Caenorhabditis elegans: one gene and its partners. The protein of the gene in region 1 purifies or fractionates together with the protein of each later gene. This does not show direct contact. Each region holds a gene or a part of one and is shown on either strand. Other genes may lie near its edges. The genes, in order: acs-18, Y54E5A.2, mif-4 and R05C11.2.

Region 1 (5,033 bases):
CCTTGCACGCTGTTGTTGCCATTCCAAGTGTTTCACATGCACTTCTCAGAGAATCTTGAGCTACTGGCCAAGTCTTTGGAACTTCAATGAATCCACAGTAATTGCAAAATTGTTGAAATTGGGCGTTTGATCCAACCTGTAAATGAAGGCATACACAGAAACTCTAAACATTATATACTTACCAAAAGGGCGAAGAAGAAGAGAGGAAAAATGAGATTCATATTTTGAACGAAATATGCCTAGACACACCCTGTCATTGCTTTTATTTAAAAAATATATGGGAGAACAGTAAGATTCCCATCTTTCACAAAAACCGACTTGGGAAATTCACTAGATTTATTTGTTCTTCTCTGATGATGTCTGTGTGGAGTTAAAACTCTTTGAAAACTATAATCTCTTCGAAAAAAAGAACATCTGAAAACAAAAACATGTAGAGTAGGAAATGTCATATTCGCGAATGTTGTCAAGCTTGGTCATTTAACAATTTTTTTCAAGCTACTCGGCCTTCAATACATGGTATTTTGCAATCTCCATGTTACCTTTAACTAATTTCTCAGATCGTTGGGAGAAGCCTTTTTTAAGTTCTCCAGAAATTTCATTATTGTTCATTTTGCCAAATTCGAAAGTTCACTAGTCTCAATCTTCTTATACATTCCATCAATTTCCGCTTTGAAAAACTGTGCGATAGCATTTCTCTTATTCTTCAATGTAGGTGTTGTCAACCCATTTTCAGCCGAAAAAGCAACTGGCGTCAAGTGAACGCCGTACACCTAAAGTTAAAAACTAAATATTTATTGACATGAAATTCCTAAACAGTGATAAACATGAAATTCCTAAATTCCTAAACAGTACCCCTTCATATCTTGGCCTTTTATCTTCTTCTGTGAGTTCTACAAATTGTCGCAGCACATCATCTGCGAGAATCGGAATGTTGCACAATTGTTCATAGGTTTTCCCATTGATGTTGTGTTTGGTTAGCGCATATGAAGCAAGATACTGAAAAAAAAAGTTTTTAGAAGAAATAATAACAAAAACGATAGGTTCCACCGAGATTTGAACTCGGGTCGCAGGATTCAAAGTCCTGAGTGCTAACCGCTACACCATGGAACCGGACGAAAATCGGTTTCATTCTAGTGTTGACATTTTTGTCATTCTCTATCTCATTCTCTATCAACGGCTTTGAGTCTCCAGTGTCAATATTCATTTCGCAATCATTATCAGCGATAAAAGAAACACAGAAGAATCGAACTTCACATATATGAAATTCTCTGAAACAGTATAAAATTATTATTATTACCTCTGGATCTGGGACAACGATTGCTACAAGCCACGGTTTTTCCATATCGCCATGAACGTAAATCTGTTGGACAAAACTCGAAGAAGTGTAGAGGGATTCTGTGAGATCTGGAGCCACAAACTTTCCTTGTGGCATTTTGAAAACGTTTTTGCGTCGATCAATAATTTGAAGAGATCCTTCAGCAGTGAATCTTCCAATATCTCCAGTTTTCATGTATCCATCTTCAGTGAAAGATGATGCAGTTGCTTCTGGATTCTTGTAATATCCTGAAGTGACGTTATGACCCTTCACAAGTACTTCTCCACCATTTTTATCAACAGAATATCCAAGTTCAGGAACATCAATTAATTTTATCATCGCACAAGCCATCGGTGGTCCAACACATCCAATACGTGTATCTCCAACCAATTGAAGTGTTGTTGGTCCAGATGTTTCAGTTTGTCCGTATCCTTCCAGAACCTCAACTCCAAAAGCCCCACGAGCAAACCTCATTGCGGAAACGTCTGATTTTGCAGCTCCAAGAATCAATTGTCTGATGTTAGGACCGAGAAGCATCTGGATTTTATGCAAAACATACTTATCTACCCATGTTTTACGAGTAGCTTTGCCTCTAAAAAATGATTAAAAAGTGTTTTCAACTGTTCCATCGGAACCTACGTCATCTTATAATGGTATAGTTTATAGGCTATTGCCGCATTCAAAATCATTTTCTTGAGTGGTTTATCCTGAACTTGCTTCATGACTGCCTTATGGATTTTATCAATAACACGTGGAACAGTAGCAAATGACCGAGGAGCCAGAGCCTGAACGTCATCTACTAGAAGCTTGGGATCACCACGAGAAAATCCGATTCGCCTGAAGTTAATTGAAACCGGGAAATTATTATTGAAGTTGAATTTCTTACGATCCAATCATGAAGTTAGAGAGTAGGCAGAGTCTTTCGTAGATATGAGCAAGAGGAAGATAAGACAGATAAGCATCTTGAACTCCAGCTTCATTTTCAAACTCTTCACATGACATTGTGGCGGAGCACATATTCAAATGAGTCAGCATAACACCTTTCGGACGTCCAGTTGTTCCAGAAGTGAATGAAATTGTTGCCAATGTTTCTGGTGTTGGTGGAACATGTGGACGATGCTTTTGTTTCTTTCCCATTTCTACAAACTCATTGAAACTCCAAAGACGGAAATCATTTTCCCGTGCCATTTCTTTAATGTCATCTGAGCACTCGTTAAATTGAACGATATACTTCAAGCTTGATAAATAGGACTTATCGCGAATGAGTTCTGAAATTTACAAAGGTAGATCACTTTTTTTTCAGAAAAAAAAACTTACGTTTAGTTTTTATTTCGGCGTCAACGAACATCAAAGAAATTTCGCAAAGGTTAGTAATATAATGCATATCATCGTTAGTAATAGTGTCGTAAAGTGGAACAGAAACGTTGCTGAAGTTATGTATTGCCATTTCTGAGAGAATCCACTGAATATTCAGAAACAATTGATTGTCATGATTGAAAATTATTATTTTACCTCTGGACGATTATTCGAGTAGATACCAATTTTTGATTCTTCCCCAATTTCAATTCCCAACTTTCTGATAGCTTGTGAAGCATGATCAGATGTTTCGAATGCTTGATCATATGAAATCCATTCCCATTCCAATTTTCCATCTTTCATCACTCTTTTCCCCAACATTTCTTTTCCACCGACAGTTGGTCCACGACGGATCTAAAGTAAACGTTGGTCTATTGAAACATCTGATTAATATTAAACCCCTGAATATGTTGTCAAAACGCCTTCAAACCATCCGTGTTGTAGAGGACCGTCTCCAAGCCACGCAGCCTTTCTACCTCCATCTTCTTGAATAATCGATTGGTTTTTTAGATCACATCTTGGTACACGACGTTTTCCAAAGAAGAATCCACGATCTTGAACGGAAATCGGGTACTGAAACACGGAATATGATGGTAGTTATAGGACGCGCGCACAATTTCTATGAGACGCCATAGAAATTTAATTTCACAACTTACAGTAATCCTAGTAAAAAGACCAGAATATCGAAATGTCAAGCGTGAAATCACTTGTCGGGTAATCAAATTTAATCCTCGATAGGACATTGTAAGCTGACAGCGAGTCACTTGTAAGATATTTGTTCACACGAGAATTAAGACGAAATAATTTGAAAACTGACTGTCAGTGAGTTGAAGATAAAACCGCGTAGAAGATGTCACTGTGTCACGCTTAAAGTTAATTTAAATCTTTAAGAACTTTTTTATCTTTTTCAAACTTTCAACATTTTTCAAACTAATCCTGCTTTTTGCCTTTTTTTTAAAAGAACTCGTCAAAGTTTTTTACATCACAAAAATTTCAAGAAGAAATGAACGCCTGTAAAAGTGCCTACCATGCCAAATTTCAAACAACAGACCGAAATAAATTTAATTTTCTATCAGTAAAGTACACAAATATTTGTAGTTTCTAATGTTTCGTATACATGATTATCATAATCAGGGAAAAACAATTCGACTTCCTGTATTGATGTGAACTTTTCTTGTGATTATACGCACTTCATCAATATAAAACGAGCTTCAGAGCAATGTTATAATTCAAAATAAACTGAAAATGAAGTTTATATCTATCATAATTGTTCTAATGGTTGCACCATCAATTCACTCTTTTCCTGCAAGAAAACGTCGTGACTTGTTTGGAGCCGTTGCTGGAATTGCTGATAATATTGTTGGTGAAGCCGAAGGATTGCTCTATCAGGCAGAGGATGTAATTGGAAAACGTAAAAGAGAGATAACACATACTTTTAGTAACGGTTATTGATTTCAAATGATAGAAAATCAAATATTATTTCCAGAAGGAAAGCTGTCTGAAAACCCCATCGTTCGCCACAAAAGAGATTTGATTGGGACGGCAGCAGGTCATTTCAAGAGTGCAATCAATACAGTTGCTGGAGATTTTTTACAAGTTTACGTTAATGGCTATACTTCTAATTTCAGTGGCTCGCCAAATCAAAAATACGATTGGATAGAATTTTTATGTTATCTGGAAATGTATCTATTCAAACTGTACTTTGTACACTGAGCTAGTTTTTCATCATCATGTTTGCAATATTTTGTTAATCGCTTGTATAAAACTTACAAAAAGTTTGTTTACCGATTTTGATTCCAGTTTTGAATAGTATAATATAGAAAAAATTTCAAAATGATATTCAACAATTGGGAAGCTATATCCCTCTTCATGCAGCCGGTAAAAGTGTATCGCTCTCCTCATACTTCGAGCAAGTTTGAAATTATCAAGATCAAATGAAAAATTGAGAAATAACTTTCTAAGTGTGTCCAGTGTAGTAATGCTTGGCCAATTATTGTTAGTGAAGCGTATCCATTCCTTTACTGCACACTTTACATGCCTAGGAAAAATAGCTAAAGAGGAACAAAATATTAATCATCCAAGTTTGATTCACAGCAAATACTTATTTAAAAAGTTCATTTAAATGTCCATTTTCCTTTTTAATAGTAGAGACTTTTTTCCACATTGTTGTTGGATGGTGGGCGCTGCTGAAATAATTTCTAGACATTGTAATCATTTTCCTAATAAACATACTTTCATTCCTGTCTGGGCTGCCAGATTCGGAGCAAACGGGACTGGAGGTTGAACGACCAACGGTTTCTGAGGAGCACATGAGGTTGTTGGCACTGGAGCAGGAGAAACAGATGGAGATGGGAGAGCAGAC
Region 2 (7,741 bases), on another chromosome or scaffold:
GCAGGAAGAATGCTGAAAATGTTTTATTATTTTTGAGCTGATTCTTTTTTTTTGAAATTCAGCATTTTACTTTCATTAGACGCGATAAGTTTTCAGAAGTATTAAATTATTGGAATTTTTTGTTGTAAATTCTCACTATTTCAATTTTAATTTTCTTCAAAAACTCTTACCAGCAATTGCCAGCGCCCAATAGAATACAGTATTTTGTATTGCAGAAACCTTCTCGTCAACTCTGAAAGTTCGAAATTTGTTATCAAATATATATTCCCCAAAATTCCAAATTCCATGAAAAGCCTCAAAAAATTCTGTAAAATCGATATTTCTGAAATATCCCGAAAATTCTAAAATCAAAAATTTTTTTTAAAAATCGCATTTTTTTGAATTTTTAAACCTTAAAAAAATTTGAAATTTTTCCGACGTTTTTTCGGACGTTTTTCAACTTTTTTTTTAACTATTCAGACTTTTCCAAAAATTATTTGGCAATAAATCAAACTCCAGGAAATTCTGGAAAATCGATAAAATTCCATTATTTTCAAAAAAAACATTAATTTCCCAGAATTTTCCCAACTAGTAGCAATTTTCGAAAAATTCTGAAAATTGAAAAAAATCGAAATTGTTAAATGTTATAAAAAGTTTCAGGGAAAATTGGAAACATTTGAAAATTGAAAATCTGAAAAAGAAAATCTGAAAAATTCCCAAAAAATTTCCAAACTCACTTTAAATTATGAAAAGTGATTCGAACCTTCTTCCGTTCCTTCGCCAAAATCAAATCAATTTTCATGTGCCACGTGGAAAAGTCAAGAATGAGTAGCTCGCCGCCACGTTGCACGGTTCCCTGCAGCAGACACGGGCGGTTCTTATCGTATTTTTTGGGTTTTCGAAGATCAATTCTCCATTTGGCGGACGTGGTTCGCATATCGTGAACTTCTGAATCCATTCGGATACGGAGATGTTGGTGGGCTCCGACGCTGAAAAATCGATAATTTTGCTCCTGATGATGTAAAAGCGCTCTATCGAACAAGTAGGCATTTTTGTGGAATCGATAATAAAAAATCGATATTGTTAATATCGATTGTTCCAGAAAATTTTGCGATAGAGCACAATTGCATCCGATTGACAATAATTTCCTAATCAAATTTAAACATGATCGAGTCCTTATCAATGTCTCCCATTTTGCAATTGCGCTCTACTGAACTAAGGAAGCAAAAACCCACGTCACTTTCATATTATCCATTCCAACGAGCACATCGATAAATTGCACTTGCTGACACGAATCGGAAACTTGCTCCTCGGATTCCACGTGGACGTCTTCCTAAACGTAGGTATGCCTACATGCCTGCCTGTCTACACTGAACTTACCATCGAAATATTGTGGCACTTGGCCCACTCGTAGCAATTCGTCTTTTGAATATTCGACTTGCAGGACTCTAATTCGATGAACATTCCAGACGTGAATTTGTGCCTGGAAACAGCAGTCGTATCAAAAAAACTGTTAATTGCCAAAATGTAGAGAATTCGATTTCCTATATTTTGTCCATTTACAAAATTTCATTAGCTTTGCTTTCCGCAGAGTTATAAGCGTTTTAAGTTTGCAAGGTAAGTGAGAGAGTGTGTGGCGAGGGGAGAGCGCAGACACCGCAGAAACTTTAAAGCGGTGTATCTCAAAATTGAAAAATGCTCAGAATTTCATGCTCTACAAGATGGGCGAAAAAGATTTTGAAACTTTGGAAAAAAAAAAGTTTTTTAGCATTTTTGAGAAAAATTTCAGCGGGCTTTATCTCGGTGGTAATAGGAGCTACATAAAAGTTGTCAACTAACAATTTGTAGAAAATTTTATGTAGTTTATTTTATTAATTAAAACAAATATTCTGCCTCCCACCCACGCAAAAATACACCTGTTTTTATGATTTCTGTAGCTCCGAATCCGTAAGAGCTACAGAAAACTTGTCAACTAGAAATTTCAAGCAAATTTAAAGTAGTTAAGTTGATTAATTGATACTTTCTTCGTATCTCATTTTTGCGCAAAGATATGGGGGTTTTAAAGAAGCTTTTAACCACCTCCCCTCAAAACCTAAAAATTCCCTTTCAACTTACCCAGCAGCCTTGTTAGCTACAATGAACTTTGGCACCAAATCACTTCGGATATCTCTTAAAATATCCTCAAGCACAATTCTTTTCAACAATGACGAGAACAATGGAATTCCCTGATGAGCATACGGAGGGATTGAGAGCAGTCTGTGAAGTTGGTTCAGTGACTCGCTGGGTTGGTTGGGCTGGAAATTGAAATGGTGAGAGGTGATGGGAATTGTAAAACGAACACTTTGTAGAGAATTTAATTTTCTACAAGTTGCTATCATAGATAACAACTTTTTGATATCAAGTATCTGAACGGGATTAGACAGGTTTTGGGCTAGTCTTCTGGGGGAAGTGAAGCGCTATCTCAAAACTCCTATAACTCGGAGAATTTTGTAGGTGCCAAAAAGTAGTTAACTAAAAGTAGTTAATTCTATAAAGAATCTAATTTGCTACATTTTGCTAGCTAACAATACTTTGAGATCTTACATCTGAACGGAGCTAGAAAGCTTTCGAACTATCTTGGAGGAACTCCTGTATCTCCGCAAAGTTACCTAGCTATCAAAAAGTTGGTAATCTGTAGAGAAATTAATTTCCTACAACTTGTCAGTTGATAACTATTTGGTAGCTTGTACTATTACAAAGCTACAGCCACTTCAAATAACTTCCATCTTACCTGCGCTTCCTTTTCCATTTTCCACTTCCTAATCGACAAATGCCCAACTCGGGTGCGAGCGGAATATTGATTTTCATTGAAAATTTTAAATATGTACTAAAAATAAGAGGTGAAAACTGACCAATCACTAGCAGTCTCATAATCATGTCCACAGATTGAGGTGGGACAGCAGCACGCCGAACAGCAACCCCAATCATCCCAGGAGATGAACAATTGAATATTGTTCTTAGTGTCGTTCACAGAGTTTATTGAAATTTCCAGAGACTCGTAGTTTTCGTAGGTGAAGATTTTATCTGAAACTGTATTTTCAATGGAATTCTCTATATTTTGTCATCTGTCAACTAATTGCCAGAATTTTGATATCTTCCTGATAAATTAAAATGAAAGGGTTGTTAACTAGGGATCCATAAAGAACGTTATATGGATTTTGGAATTTCTGAGTTTTTTCCTTAAAAAATGATCACACGAAAAAGTTGCCAACTAACAAAATATGCTCATTAAAATTCTATACATTTCGGCAGTTGACAACTCTTTGATAGCATTCCTCTGCGCAAAGTTACAAGCTTTCAAAGTTTTCCCAATGCGAGAGTGTAGAGGAGAAGGAGAGCGCTGGCAGTGTCTGCACTCTCCCCCTCCTCCGCGCTCTCTCGCTAATAAAACTTCAAAGCGGGGTATATCTCGGCGGGGAGTAGAGATAGAGAAATCATGGAAAACGAAGAAAGAATCAGAATTTGAATTTCTATACGATAAAGTCAATAAAGCTTACCATTCTGCTCTCCGTCCCCAATAATATCCTCATTCACAAAGTTATAGCTGCTCACAATTTTACCATTCAACTCAATTCCACACATTGTAGTAAATCCTTCAATTTTTCGAGAATGAATCTGTAAATTTTTGAGTTTTTCAGAGAGTAAAGTCCTGGAAACCAACCGCCAGCTCTCCATTGGGGAGCCCTATAGCTTCTCTGTCGGTTTCAGTGGCTCCATGCTCTCCACTCCATCTTGTCACCTTTCCAAAATGCAGGTCTGTGGAAGGTGTAGTTTGGCAAAAGATATAAAAAGGAAAACGGCGTCACAGGGACTGGAATCAAAAATGTGCTCACAATAATTTTCAGTTAATTTGGCTCAATTTCGGGATGATTTACAGATATAAGCTAGTTCTAGATAAACTATACAAGCTTCAAAAGTACTAAGCTTAGGGTTTTTAATGGTACTACATTATTTTAAGTATGATGAAGCTATTGTTTATGGTGCATGATTTGTGGATTTTTAAGCAAAATAGCCTGTAAAATTTTGTAAAGAAAGCTCCATCGGCTGCTCAGATACGAGCTTAAACACCAAGTGGCACCAAAAAACTTGCTAAAAGCCATTTACAACTTAAAAAAATAGCCCGCTCAGTAGCTTCATGTCGGGCTTAAAGGTCATAAAAAGTTGAAAATCAAGCTTTTGCAGGTTTCCAGTTATTTCGATGATATGAAAAACAAAAATTACACCACCAAATTACTACATTAAATGTATTTTTGAAACTGAAAAATTTTATGCTTCTTGAAAAAATGAGAATTTTCGGCGAAATTGTCGAAAATCGCAGGGGGGGGGTCCCATAGCAGTTGGGCGGTCGATTTTTCAACTTTTTGCTCTTTTGCACTCAACTTTTGAGATATCATGATAAAATTATAGATCCATAGGTTTTTTGGTATGCTGATTCCAATTCCAATACTAGTTTTCTATAAAAAAGTAGCTGTTGGGTGCACTGTACCTACTAAGCACCTTAGGAGTACCCTTGAGAGATAATGAAGGCTTGTGATATGTATGCTATGCTTAACTAGACTCATTGAATTCAGAAATAAATTTCTGATACTTTGAGGGTAATTTCAGCTAGTTCGTCTAATTTTCAGCCAAGTTAAATAATACACTCACTATTAATTCTCAAGTAATCCTGAAAATTCGAGACACGTGGCTCCTGTTCACAATCCTCCCGACTACAATAGTGCAATAAATTATTGATTTTTCGAGAGCCGATCGTCAATTTCGTGAAAATCTGAGTGAAATCACGTTCCGGGAATACGTAGTACATTTGATGGAGACCTTCAATTATCGGATGACACGTGGCACATTGCGGTTGGTACGGGAGGCCCGCTTCGCGAGTTTTCTGCAAAATAACGTTGATTTTGATGCAGGGGCAGCGTTTTCTGGAGAATTTAAATATCGGGGGAAGGCGATCTCAAAAAAAAAGGGGCGGGAAAAACAATTGAAAATTTACGCTCCGCCCCTATAACAGGTCTAAATTTTGAACTTTTACACTCAAATCTACAAAATTTTATAGAAAAAAAACGGTTTTTTTCATGTGAATAAGCCCGCAAAAGATAATAAAACACGTGGTCAGAGTGTCCCATTTCGGTGTGATCTTCAAAAAATGCGGGAATTGAGTCGCAGATTTCTCAACAAATTTTGTAAGTGTGCTGGCGACACATTTTACTGGGCAAAAAATTTCCGCATTTTATTGTAGATCATTCAAATTTACGCTACGCCTCTATAACATGTCTAAATTTTGAACTTTAACACTAAAATCTACAAAACTTTATGGAAAACGCCTGACACCACGTGTAAAAGTGCGCTTCACCAAATTTATTTTAATCATTTTTTTTTCTCTTTTGCTCATGAAATGAATTTGCTCACTAGAAACATATAAAATCTAGCAGAAAAACAGCTGCATTTGTCTATGATCTTAAAAATTGATTAAAACTGGTCTTGGCACGATTCGCGAGTGTGCAAACGCGCTCCACCGAACTTTTGCCGTTTTTATAGATTTTTAGGCCCGAAAAGCTAAAATTCAACAATATTATATAAAAATTATCGAATAAATAGAAAAAAAAATTAAACCTGAAAAATGCGAAATCCAATATTAAAGAACCCGTTAGAATCACACAATTCCTTTGATATATGAGGAATTCGAAACGCCGGATTCGATATAAAATATGGTAATTTGTGATAAATCGTCTGATTCCCATTTAACCATCCCAGTGAGTCGAATTCCAAGATTTTTCCGTCGAATAGTATATTGTTGTACTTGTGAACGTTCAGGTAATTCTCAAATCTCCACGTGTCTTTTGATAATGGAATTGAGGAGTACAGGGAGTAGAGTTCCGCTCGTCTTTCTGAAAAAAAAACAGTAGATTTGAGACTTTGCAGAAAGGGGCTGCAAACGCGCTCCAGCGAAGAGGTCTCCTTACCAAACTCGATAACAATTCCATGCACTGTCGAAAAAAGCATAAGTTTCAGAAAATTGAACAACAAAACCATGGTTGGTTTGGAGAAATGAAGCAGATTGATTTTTCAATGGATTTAAAAAGTTTTTACGTGATAAATTATTTTTAAAAACATATTTTTTAAATAAATCGTATCGAAAATTTAATTAAAAATTAAATATACCCCGTGAAATTCTCTACATTTTGTTAGTTAAACACTTTTTGATAGCATTTCTCTGCGTGAAGTTGTGAGCGTTTGAAGTTTTTTGGGGTGAGAGAGTGTGGGGGAGGGCGAGAGTGCAGAGAGATATACTGCCTGCACTCTCCTCTCCCTCCACGCTCTCAACACCGAAACTTAGAAGAGGTGTATCTTTGCAGAGAGGAAAGATACAAAAATATTGTAAAAAGGAAAAATGTTCAGAATTTGATTCTCTATATATTGCAATAAAAACAAATTGTTCGGAGTTTTTTTTAGTTTCTTGTTTTTTTTTCCTGAAATTCAAACTAAAAAGTGTATTTGAGCAGTGTTTTGCTCTACAAAGATATTCTGCATTTATTGGGTAAGAGCCAAAAGTGCCATATCTAACCGGAAGCTTATTCTACCAAATTTTACTTAACTAACAAAATATACGCCTTGAAATTCTGTACATTTTTGCAATTTACAATATTTTAATTGCACTCCTCTGCTCAAAGTGACAGGCGTTTTAAGATTGGCGGGTGAGAGAGCGCGAGGGAGGGGGAGAGTGCAGACACTGCCTGCGCTCTCCCCCTCCCCCACACTCTCTCACCCGCCAAAACTTCAGCGTGGTGTAACTCGGCGGGTAGGAAAGATAGAGAGGTAGTGTAAAAGACAAGAATGTGTAGAATTGGATTTTCTACTGGATAACGTTTTGAGTTTTAGCATTTATGAAATTTATGAAAAATGAATGTTTGAATTTGAATTTTCAATTTTTAGTTTTCCAAATGATATTTCATAATGTTTCCGTCTAGTTTTCATTATCAATTTCCCTATACTCTACTGTCTGAAACTGTTTGTTTTACCACGAAAATGACCAATACCTAGTGAATCATTGGAAAAAAAGAGCATCGCTTCCCTCTCCCGTCTCGCTCTCAAAACACACACACACACAGTTCCTTCCTTTCTATTTGCATGTATAGTTGCATTCTCTACGCAATAAGTCCACCTTTCCGTATGTGTGTGCTCCAAGAGCAACGGAAACTGGATTCAGGTGGTTGCTAACCAACCAATTTCCCCCTCTGGCTTTTCATCCTATAAGGTTTCCAATTTATCACTTTTTGTCTCAGAGAGCATATGTGCCTTTGAATTTATTGAAAAATATAAATTTTTAGTTTGAAAATGTGCAACCTTTGCTAGATGTTTTGCTTTAAAAAGCACTCGCGCTATTTTTTACTTGTTTGTGCGTGGTTTTACGAATTTTTAACTAAATATTTCTTAAGCCCCCTATATCTTCCTGAAAAATGAAGATATCAAAATTTTCTCAGCCAACAAAATATTCTCCTCAAAATTCTCTACATTTTTGCAGTTATCATTGTTTCTCTACCTCTTTTTTCCACAGAGTTACACGCGTTTCAAATTCGACGGGGTGAGAAAGTGTGGGGGAGGGGAGTGCGCAGACACTGCGCTCTCTCCCTCTTCCACACTCTCTCGCCTTCAAAACTTTGAAGCGGTGTATCTCTGCAAGTAAGATAGGTAGAAGCATACTGTAAAAGCAAAATTGTGTAGAATT
Region 3 (3,063 bases), 4.0 Mb from region 1:
GAAATCAGAAAAAATTGTACCTTGTGTATTTGAACTGCTAAAAAATGGTCGTTCTGGTGTTAAACCATCAATTGTACTCGGATGTCGGCGGAGCAGTGGAAGGGATGTTCGATGGATCAGTGTACTTGTGGTAGCCATATCTAAAAAAGGTAATAATTATTTATTACTCGGAAGTGAAATTTTACGATTTTTGCGCCAGATATACGGTAGCCGGTCTCGCCACGAACAATTTTAGTTAAATGCGACAAGGTCTCGGTTGTTGCGGAATTTTTATAGAATTTCATAGTTTTTTAGACAAAAAACACTTTTATTTATGTTTAAAACAACTCAAATATAACAATAAAACGCATGAATTCCAACAAATCGATGCTACAGTAATCTTTAAAGGCACACGTCTTTTCACATTTCCTATGCTTGTCGTGTCGAGACCGTGTGCCGTATTTCTGGCGCAAAAAACAACAAAATTTCGCTTTTGAACAATAATTAAATAAAAAAGAAATTTAAAAAATGAGACGTGGGAATTGTATACGGTTAATTTCAAAGAATTCACGGGAAAATTCATTGAAAAAATTCAAATCTCAGAAAAAAAGTGAAGAGTGAACAGTTTTAGAAACCTTGTCAGTTTGGAAAACTACGTGATAACTCAAAAGAACGGAAGAAAGTTTCTCACTTTTCCGTGTCTCTCTGTAATCTCTTGACAAAGCCCACTATTTCAGGCCATCAGAGAACAGGGTCGGGAGGATCACGCCACTCGTTTCAACACTCAGTAGTCCACAGCTTGCACTACCCACATTGTTTCTCCGTCTGCGTATCCACGTCTTATGTTGTCTCTCGCATTGTCTTTCTATTTCTGAGTCTCTTGCACCTCTCTGTCATCATGCATATATACAATTGAAATGGAAAGGACAGACTGCACTAAACCGAAAAGCACGTGGTCTTGTCTGGGAGGAGAAGAATGTTGAAGACAAATCACACGACAACGTGATATGTGACGTCACAGAGGGGAGTCCCCACGTGACAGGTACTTTAATGAGACAGAGAAAGTTCGAAATGTTGAGTCACGAATCGCGAACGGAATTGAGCCGAGTGGAAAAAAAGAGTTGGAAATTTCGAGATGAGCAGCCAGCTGATTTAGTCTACAGTAATCTAGAATAACTAAACAAAAGTTTTTGAACCTATTCCAGCTTTATGAGTCATGAAAAATGGAGCGCAGCAATAAAAATATGGTGTACGAATTTCAGGAAATACTTCTCGTTAACAAAGATAGTTTGAAACTACAGTACTGTTCAAAGCGCTGACATGGTTGTGTCTAAGAAAAATTGTCGTACCGAGACCTGGTACCGTATTATTATAGCAAAAATCGCGAAAATCTGCATCTGAATAATATCAACTACATAACTGAGATCGTGGCGAGACCCTAATGAAATTACGATAATATAAATAATATTGATTCAAAACTGTGATTCTTGCTTCTAGTTGTTGCAACACATTCTGATCTGTGTCTCCCTAACCTACTTCCGATTTTCACCAAAAAAACCGTGTGCCCAACCCAAAATTCAAGGTCAAACTTATTTCCATTTCCCCGTACTAATTGTTTCCATGTCATCCCATTTCTGTCCATCCTGCGCACATAACATTGACAAATGGAGTTGTGTATTTATTGTCGAGTGCACGCTCTTTTCTTCGAGCGACATGTTTTCTCAGCTGGCTGAGCATTTTTTCCCGTTGGTTTTTATGTTGCGAAACGACAATTTCTCTTTTTTTTAAAATATTTTCAAGCCGAATTTCAAAATTTTAGAATTAAAATGCAAGTTGTTCGAATTCAAACCAACATCCGAAGTGCTGATATTCCAGAAAAGTTTGAAGTAAGTTTGCATAAAACGAAATTTCTAATTTCTAATATTTTCAGCAAGATGTGATCTACAATTTATCAGTTGTAATGGAATTACCAGCTGATAAATTCGTGATTATTGTTGAGCCGGCAGTTAGAATGAGAATTGGATTTGAGAATAAAGAAATTCCAGTTGCAATTGTAAATGTGCGTTTTTTTTTATTTTGAAAAAATATTAGGCTTGGGTCTTGTCACGTGTAAAATTTTTCAGCTACAGTAACCTGTGTATTTTTCAAAATCTGAAAACTTTTTTATAATTAAAATTTTTTTAATCGAGAAGAAATGTGTGAAAAATAGAAAAACTAACTAGATTCATAAAATATAAGTTAATTTTATGAGAAAAATATTTTTAACTAAAAAGTGATAGAATACCGGGGTACGGTAGCTGACAAGTTTTGGACGTGCCGGGACCAGAGACCGTGTTTTTTTTTTTTGAAAATGTCAACTCGTTGAAAATTAAGAATAACAATTTTCAGTTCCAAACAACCCGGCCTTCTTCTCGAATCGAAAATGACTCATATGCAAAAAAATTGACATCAGTGCTCAATGAGCAGTTGAAGCTTGATCCCGCCCATATTTTCATATCATTTGATTTTAAAGATGCAAAAAGTTTTGCAACTCAAGGGAAGACAATTGCTTCTTTGTATGAATAAATTTGTAAAAAAGTTGAAACGCATGGATTTAACAATGAAGTAAACATCTGAAAACATCGAAAAAAACAAGACAAAGCATAATTCATAAGTTATTTTATAGCAAAAGGGAGGGAGCAAAATTAGCATTAATGAGAAATAGAAACTTTGACAAGAAAATGTAAAAATAAGTTATGCTGAATATAATGACTAGAGTTACATAAATTATTGAACGGAATGTGAATAAGAAATCACACATTAATTTAGTTACAGAAAAGCTGGAAATAGTTTGAGATTGAGCTGGCTTATTGGCTTTGCTGTTGGATGTTGGTGAGCTTGGATTCTGAAATTAAAAATCTTTGAATTTTTTCTTGAAAGGCTTAACCTACCGAGTTGGGTAACATAATTTTCAAGAACAGCGGTAGCTTCCTCCAATCTCCGGGTGCTCTCATCCATAGCATCAATTTGGGAAAGATATGGACGCAGATTCTCGTCTGGAAAATAATCTTTCATAAATTTTCCGAAATAAATAATAAAGGCATA
Region 4 (3,976 bases), 8.3 Mb from region 1:
TGATTTTTTTTCAATCACCCGGCTTCTTCAATTTTTCTGTATTTTTGTGATTTTTTTCGAATTTTTTGGTTAAAAATTCATCATTATTCGGTGCTTTTTCTCATGTGCTTCTTTCAAAATTCTTCCATGTTTGTTGGAATATATGGAATTTTTATGTAAAAATCTTCGATCTCTGCGCTTTTTGCTTCAATAAAAAAATTTAATACCGCGGAAACATTCGTTTGAAGAAAATTTCTTAATTAAGAAAAAGTTCAATTATCACCTTTTCCAGCAAGTTTCCAGCTTGAAATTTTTTATTTATTTAATTATTCAATCATTTCTCATAGTGAGACTTATTATTGATTTATGCTTTCATTTTGTCAAAGTGCGTCCATTTTGTATATATATATATTTTTTTTTTTTTTATGTTGCACAATATTTTCAGGTTAAACAAATATTTAGATACATTTAACTTTACCGTAAAATATGAAAAGGTGCACAGTAAATTGAGAATAATTAAGAAATAAATGTTTAAATTTATTATAAGTGAATTTATTTATTTATAAAAATAGTACGTGAAATATCTATATCCACGCCATTAAAAATTATATTTAAACGTACAAAAGATTCATGCACATGAAAGTATTGTTTAAATTAGGGTTCCCAGCTGAGTGAGGCGCAAAATGCGGGCCTCACGCCGGCCTCACGCCGGCCGGCCTTCGCCTTCGCCGTTCGCCGCTTTCAATAATAATGACGTGAATTTTAAATTTTAATTTTCAAAAATTCGTTGAAAATTTAGAAAAAAAATATAAGAAATGAAAATAAAAGTTTATGTGTAATTCAGTGAAAGGCGAGAGTGACGCCGTGAGGCCGGCGCGGCGACCGCTGAGGCGGGCGAAGGCGCCTTTGCGGCGACCTCATGGGAGCCCTAGTTTAAATCAGGTGAAAAATTAATATTTGAAAAAAAAATCATTAGGGACAACTTTTCGTCCCGTTGGCGAGGAACAGGGAAGTGACCTTTACAACAGCTCTAGCACCTAGCCGGACTAGATTCCCTCGGAATAGCCGGACTAGATTCCCTCGGAATACGATTAAACATGAATTTTTTAAGATTTTGATAATATCGAATTTGTAGATCATCTGTGTCGTTCATGCAATTGAAAAACCAAATGCTAGGTTGATTATTTGTAGAATCGGTAACTATGCGAAACGGAATTCCCAAAAATCCTTCTTGAAATATAGAATTATTTACGTCACTGTTCACAAATGTGACCTTGAACTGGAGAAAGTCCGGTGAAACTAGGAACATCTGAAATTATTTTTTTTTAAAAATTACATGAGATATTCGAACTCACATCTCTCAAATATATAACATTTTTCAATGATAACGAATCCAAAATTATGTCAACTTTTCTGAAGTGAACAAGATTTTCAACATCACACTTGATAACACGCTTAATAATTGTCAACTCTTTCGCATTCCTCCATTGTTCCATGACCAAAAACTCTTCAATGCTCCATACATCACTTGCAGGTACGTCGAAAGATGTTCCAAACTCAATTTTGTTCAGCTTAGAGGGATCCACGGATTGGAGCAGTTGCACTATGGTTTTTTGGTTTCTTGTTGTGACAACCAACTTTTCCACTGGCAGCAATCGACCCAGCGAGGCGTGCAAATCTTTGAACGATTTCAAAAATCGATTCTCATTCTGGTCCCAGATTGAATGACTTTCTGTTTCCTGGGGATTCCCCTCAATTTCATCCATGTATTTTTTTTCTTCTTCCGTAACATCCTTGAAACTTGACTCGCTGGTTTCATCAACTTGCATAAAATTCATTTTAAGTTCTTCCAAAGCAGATTTTTGATTTTTCAAAATAAGGAACAAGTCGTTTGAAAAGTTGCCGTAATCCAACTCGCTAGATTTTCTGGATAATCTTGAAGCCTTATATGAAACTTTTCGGTTTGTGGATTCGGTAAACATCTCAAGAAGTGCGCACCCAATGCTTTGAACATGAATGCCGATTTTGAGTAATTTATGGTCTGGTTTGATAAGGTCGATGCACTGACGGCTTCCATAAGAAATTTTACGGAGCACTTGTCTGAAAAAATAAAATTCAAGCTAAAAAAAATCAAAAGACTTTACATACATATCAAAAAAATCGAGACGTTCAACAACGCTGTTCATAATCACAGTGTTGTAGAACCACAAAGTGCTTGATATCGATGAGCCAGAAACTTCAGACAAAAGCTTCGTTTCATCCATTGTCAGCTGCTCTAGCTGGTTCTGAATAGTTGCATTGTTAACAATAATTTCGTTTCGTGCAAGTATTACACTGTAGGAGAAATAAAATATGCCTGTTCTGTGCTAACTCTAGCTTTTTCTCGTGTCGGGCCATAAATTGAGCAAGATTTTGGCAAAACTTGGTTTAGGTTGCTCTTGATCTGCCACTCTTATCTAATTAGGAAATAATGTTAATTGGACATTAAAAAAGACAGAAGTGAAATGGAAGATCAGATTTTTGGCTACATGAGTTTTTTTGGGGTTACCTGGAACTTAGCAGAATAAAAAAGAATTTAAAAATGATTGCAATGTTCCTATTCGTGTATTTTTTTTTTTCGAAAGTTTTCGAAATTTTTTGTGATGTCTCATTATGAAATTCGGTGGTTTTGGACCAGTTTTAGTCTATTTAAGCAAAATATCCACAAACTCTACTCCCCCTTTAAGTTGATTCACAATTTGGAGAAAAATGCAAATTTAACGAAAATCTGAACTTTTGCCATGATGTCAATGTTATGCCGCAGTGACCGAAAGTTGAAATAATTTAATTCGCACTCTAGTTTGCATGTGGTAATTGGTACATTCAATTTCTAAGTCACAACATCTTGACAGTTTTTCCACACAGCAGGACACACGAATTCTTTTTCAGCATCAGATTTTGTCAGCTCCAAAACTGTTGTACAGGCTCACCTGCTAAAGGTCACTCTCTCGCAAAATATGTAGGAGGCAGTTATATTGCCTGTGTATCTCTACAAACTCAACTCTCTCTATACGCTCACAGGCCACTCCCGTTGTGGGGGAAAAACGGTCAAGATGTTGTGACGTAGAAATTGTAGGTACCAACTATGCTCACTTACCAATTATCAACATGCATAGTCGGTACCTTTTCACTAGTCAAGAACATTGATCACATAGAGTCTACAAATTTTCTGACCGAATATATGTTAATTGGAAATAAAAGAAAAGAGCCAAACTTTCGACGCTTTCACTAATTAAATAATTTTTCTGGGCTTCTTTCCGTTAGTTTTTCGTTGTTCTTTTTGTTGCATAGATTGCATAGCAAAAATAATTTATTCATAGGAAAATTGACAACTGACAAAATTGCCGAAAAAAAATCTAAATAACCCCTATGCAAATTTAGCTATTTACCTGTTAAGTTTTCCAGGTTTTCATAAATTCCCCAAATCCAAGTACTGCTCTAAAACAAATAATCTAAAAATTGTCCAGCTTGAAAAACAAATACCCATCTTCCCAACGTCTTCCAGGAAATTCTAACCGCAATAATATTTTCCTGCATTGCATCCAGATGTTAGTTATTGGAAATATATGAACATGCGAAACGGAAACCAATATTTTCTTGGAACATCTTAAAATGAATGAGATTAGTTTTTCTTTGTATAGAGCTTCTTTACACCTATTACCCTACTCATATGAGTTGATTAAATGTATGGGTACTGTAAGGGTACGGTAGTTAAACTCAAAACTGAACTGTTATTATAATTCTTGCCTACTAATATTTACTGTTGAATTTAGTCATTACGGCCCATTTTCTATTATTTAAAGCAAAAAAATTGACTCTACTCCAGTGGTGGGCGGCAAACGATTTTTTCCGGCTAATCAGCAAATTACCAGAATTGAAATTATAGGCAAATCGGCCAACCAGAAAATTGCCGATTTGCCGGAAAAAACACTTCCGGCAAATTGATATCCGACAAATC

Evidence for each region.
Region 2: the proteins of acs-18 (region 1) and Y54E5A.2 fractionate together in Caenorhabditis elegans (co-fractionation; one large-scale study listed by BioGRID). This does not show direct contact.
Region 3: the proteins of acs-18 (region 1) and mif-4 fractionate together in Caenorhabditis elegans (co-fractionation; one large-scale study listed by BioGRID). This does not show direct contact.
Region 4: the proteins of acs-18 (region 1) and R05C11.2 fractionate together in Caenorhabditis elegans (co-fractionation; one large-scale study listed by BioGRID). This does not show direct contact.

Annotation. Positions count from the first base shown.
Region 1 is NC_003282.8:10,310,193-10,315,225, forward strand, and holds acs-18 (Long-chain-fatty-acid--CoA ligase), read right to left. Parts: upstream 3,474-5,033; 5' UTR 3,415-3,473; coding exon 3,328-3,414; intron 3,245-3,327; coding exon 3,071-3,244; intron 3,026-3,070; coding exon 2,828-3,025; intron 2,778-2,827; coding exon 2,633-2,777; intron 2,584-2,632; coding exon 2,202-2,583; intron 2,153-2,201; coding exon 1,955-2,152; intron 1,908-1,954; coding exon 1,298-1,907; intron 1,233-1,297; exon of another isoform or gene 1,212-1,232; intron 1,118-1,211; exon of another isoform or gene 1,027-1,117; intron 997-1,026; coding exon 853-996; intron 771-852; coding exon 606-770; 3' UTR 556-605; downstream 1-555. Other genes in the region: R09E10.8 (Saposin B-type domain-containing protein), read right to left, coding at 1-136, 183-221.
Region 2 is NC_003279.8:14,692,477-14,700,217, reverse strand, and holds the start of Y54E5A.2 (Recep_L_domain domain-containing protein), read right to left. Parts: upstream 6,065-7,741; 5' UTR 6,049-6,064; coding exon 5,979-6,048; intron 5,904-5,978; coding exon 5,629-5,903; intron 4,898-5,628; coding exon 4,666-4,897; intron 3,775-4,665; coding exon 3,680-3,774; intron 3,634-3,679; coding exon 3,516-3,633; intron 3,043-3,515; coding exon 2,871-3,042; intron 2,778-2,870; coding exon 2,750-2,777; intron 2,274-2,749; coding exon 2,095-2,273; intron 1,463-2,094; coding exon 1,360-1,462; intron 1,313-1,359; coding exon 1,215-1,312; intron 969-1,214; coding exon 717-968; intron 233-716; coding exon 171-232; intron 13-170; coding exon 1-12.
Region 3 is NC_003282.8:6,334,730-6,337,792, reverse strand, and holds mif-4 (Macrophage migration inhibitory factor), read left to right. Parts: upstream 1-1,798; 5' UTR 1,799-1,805; coding exon 1,806-1,865; intron 1,866-1,909; coding exon 1,910-2,038; intron 2,039-2,367; coding exon 2,368-2,544; 3' UTR 2,545-2,563; downstream 2,564-3,063. Other genes in the region: ipla-6 (PNPLA domain-containing protein), read right to left, coding at 21-138; blos-2 (Biogenesis of lysosome-related organelles complex 1 subunit 2), read right to left, coding at 2,826-2,863, 2,910-3,014.
Region 4 is NC_003282.8:2,056,869-2,060,844, forward strand, and holds R05C11.2 (DUF38 domain-containing protein), read right to left. Parts: upstream 2,244-3,976; coding exon 2,128-2,243; intron 2,080-2,127; coding exon 1,335-2,079; intron 1,289-1,334; coding exon 1,010-1,288; 3' UTR 510-1,009; downstream 1-509.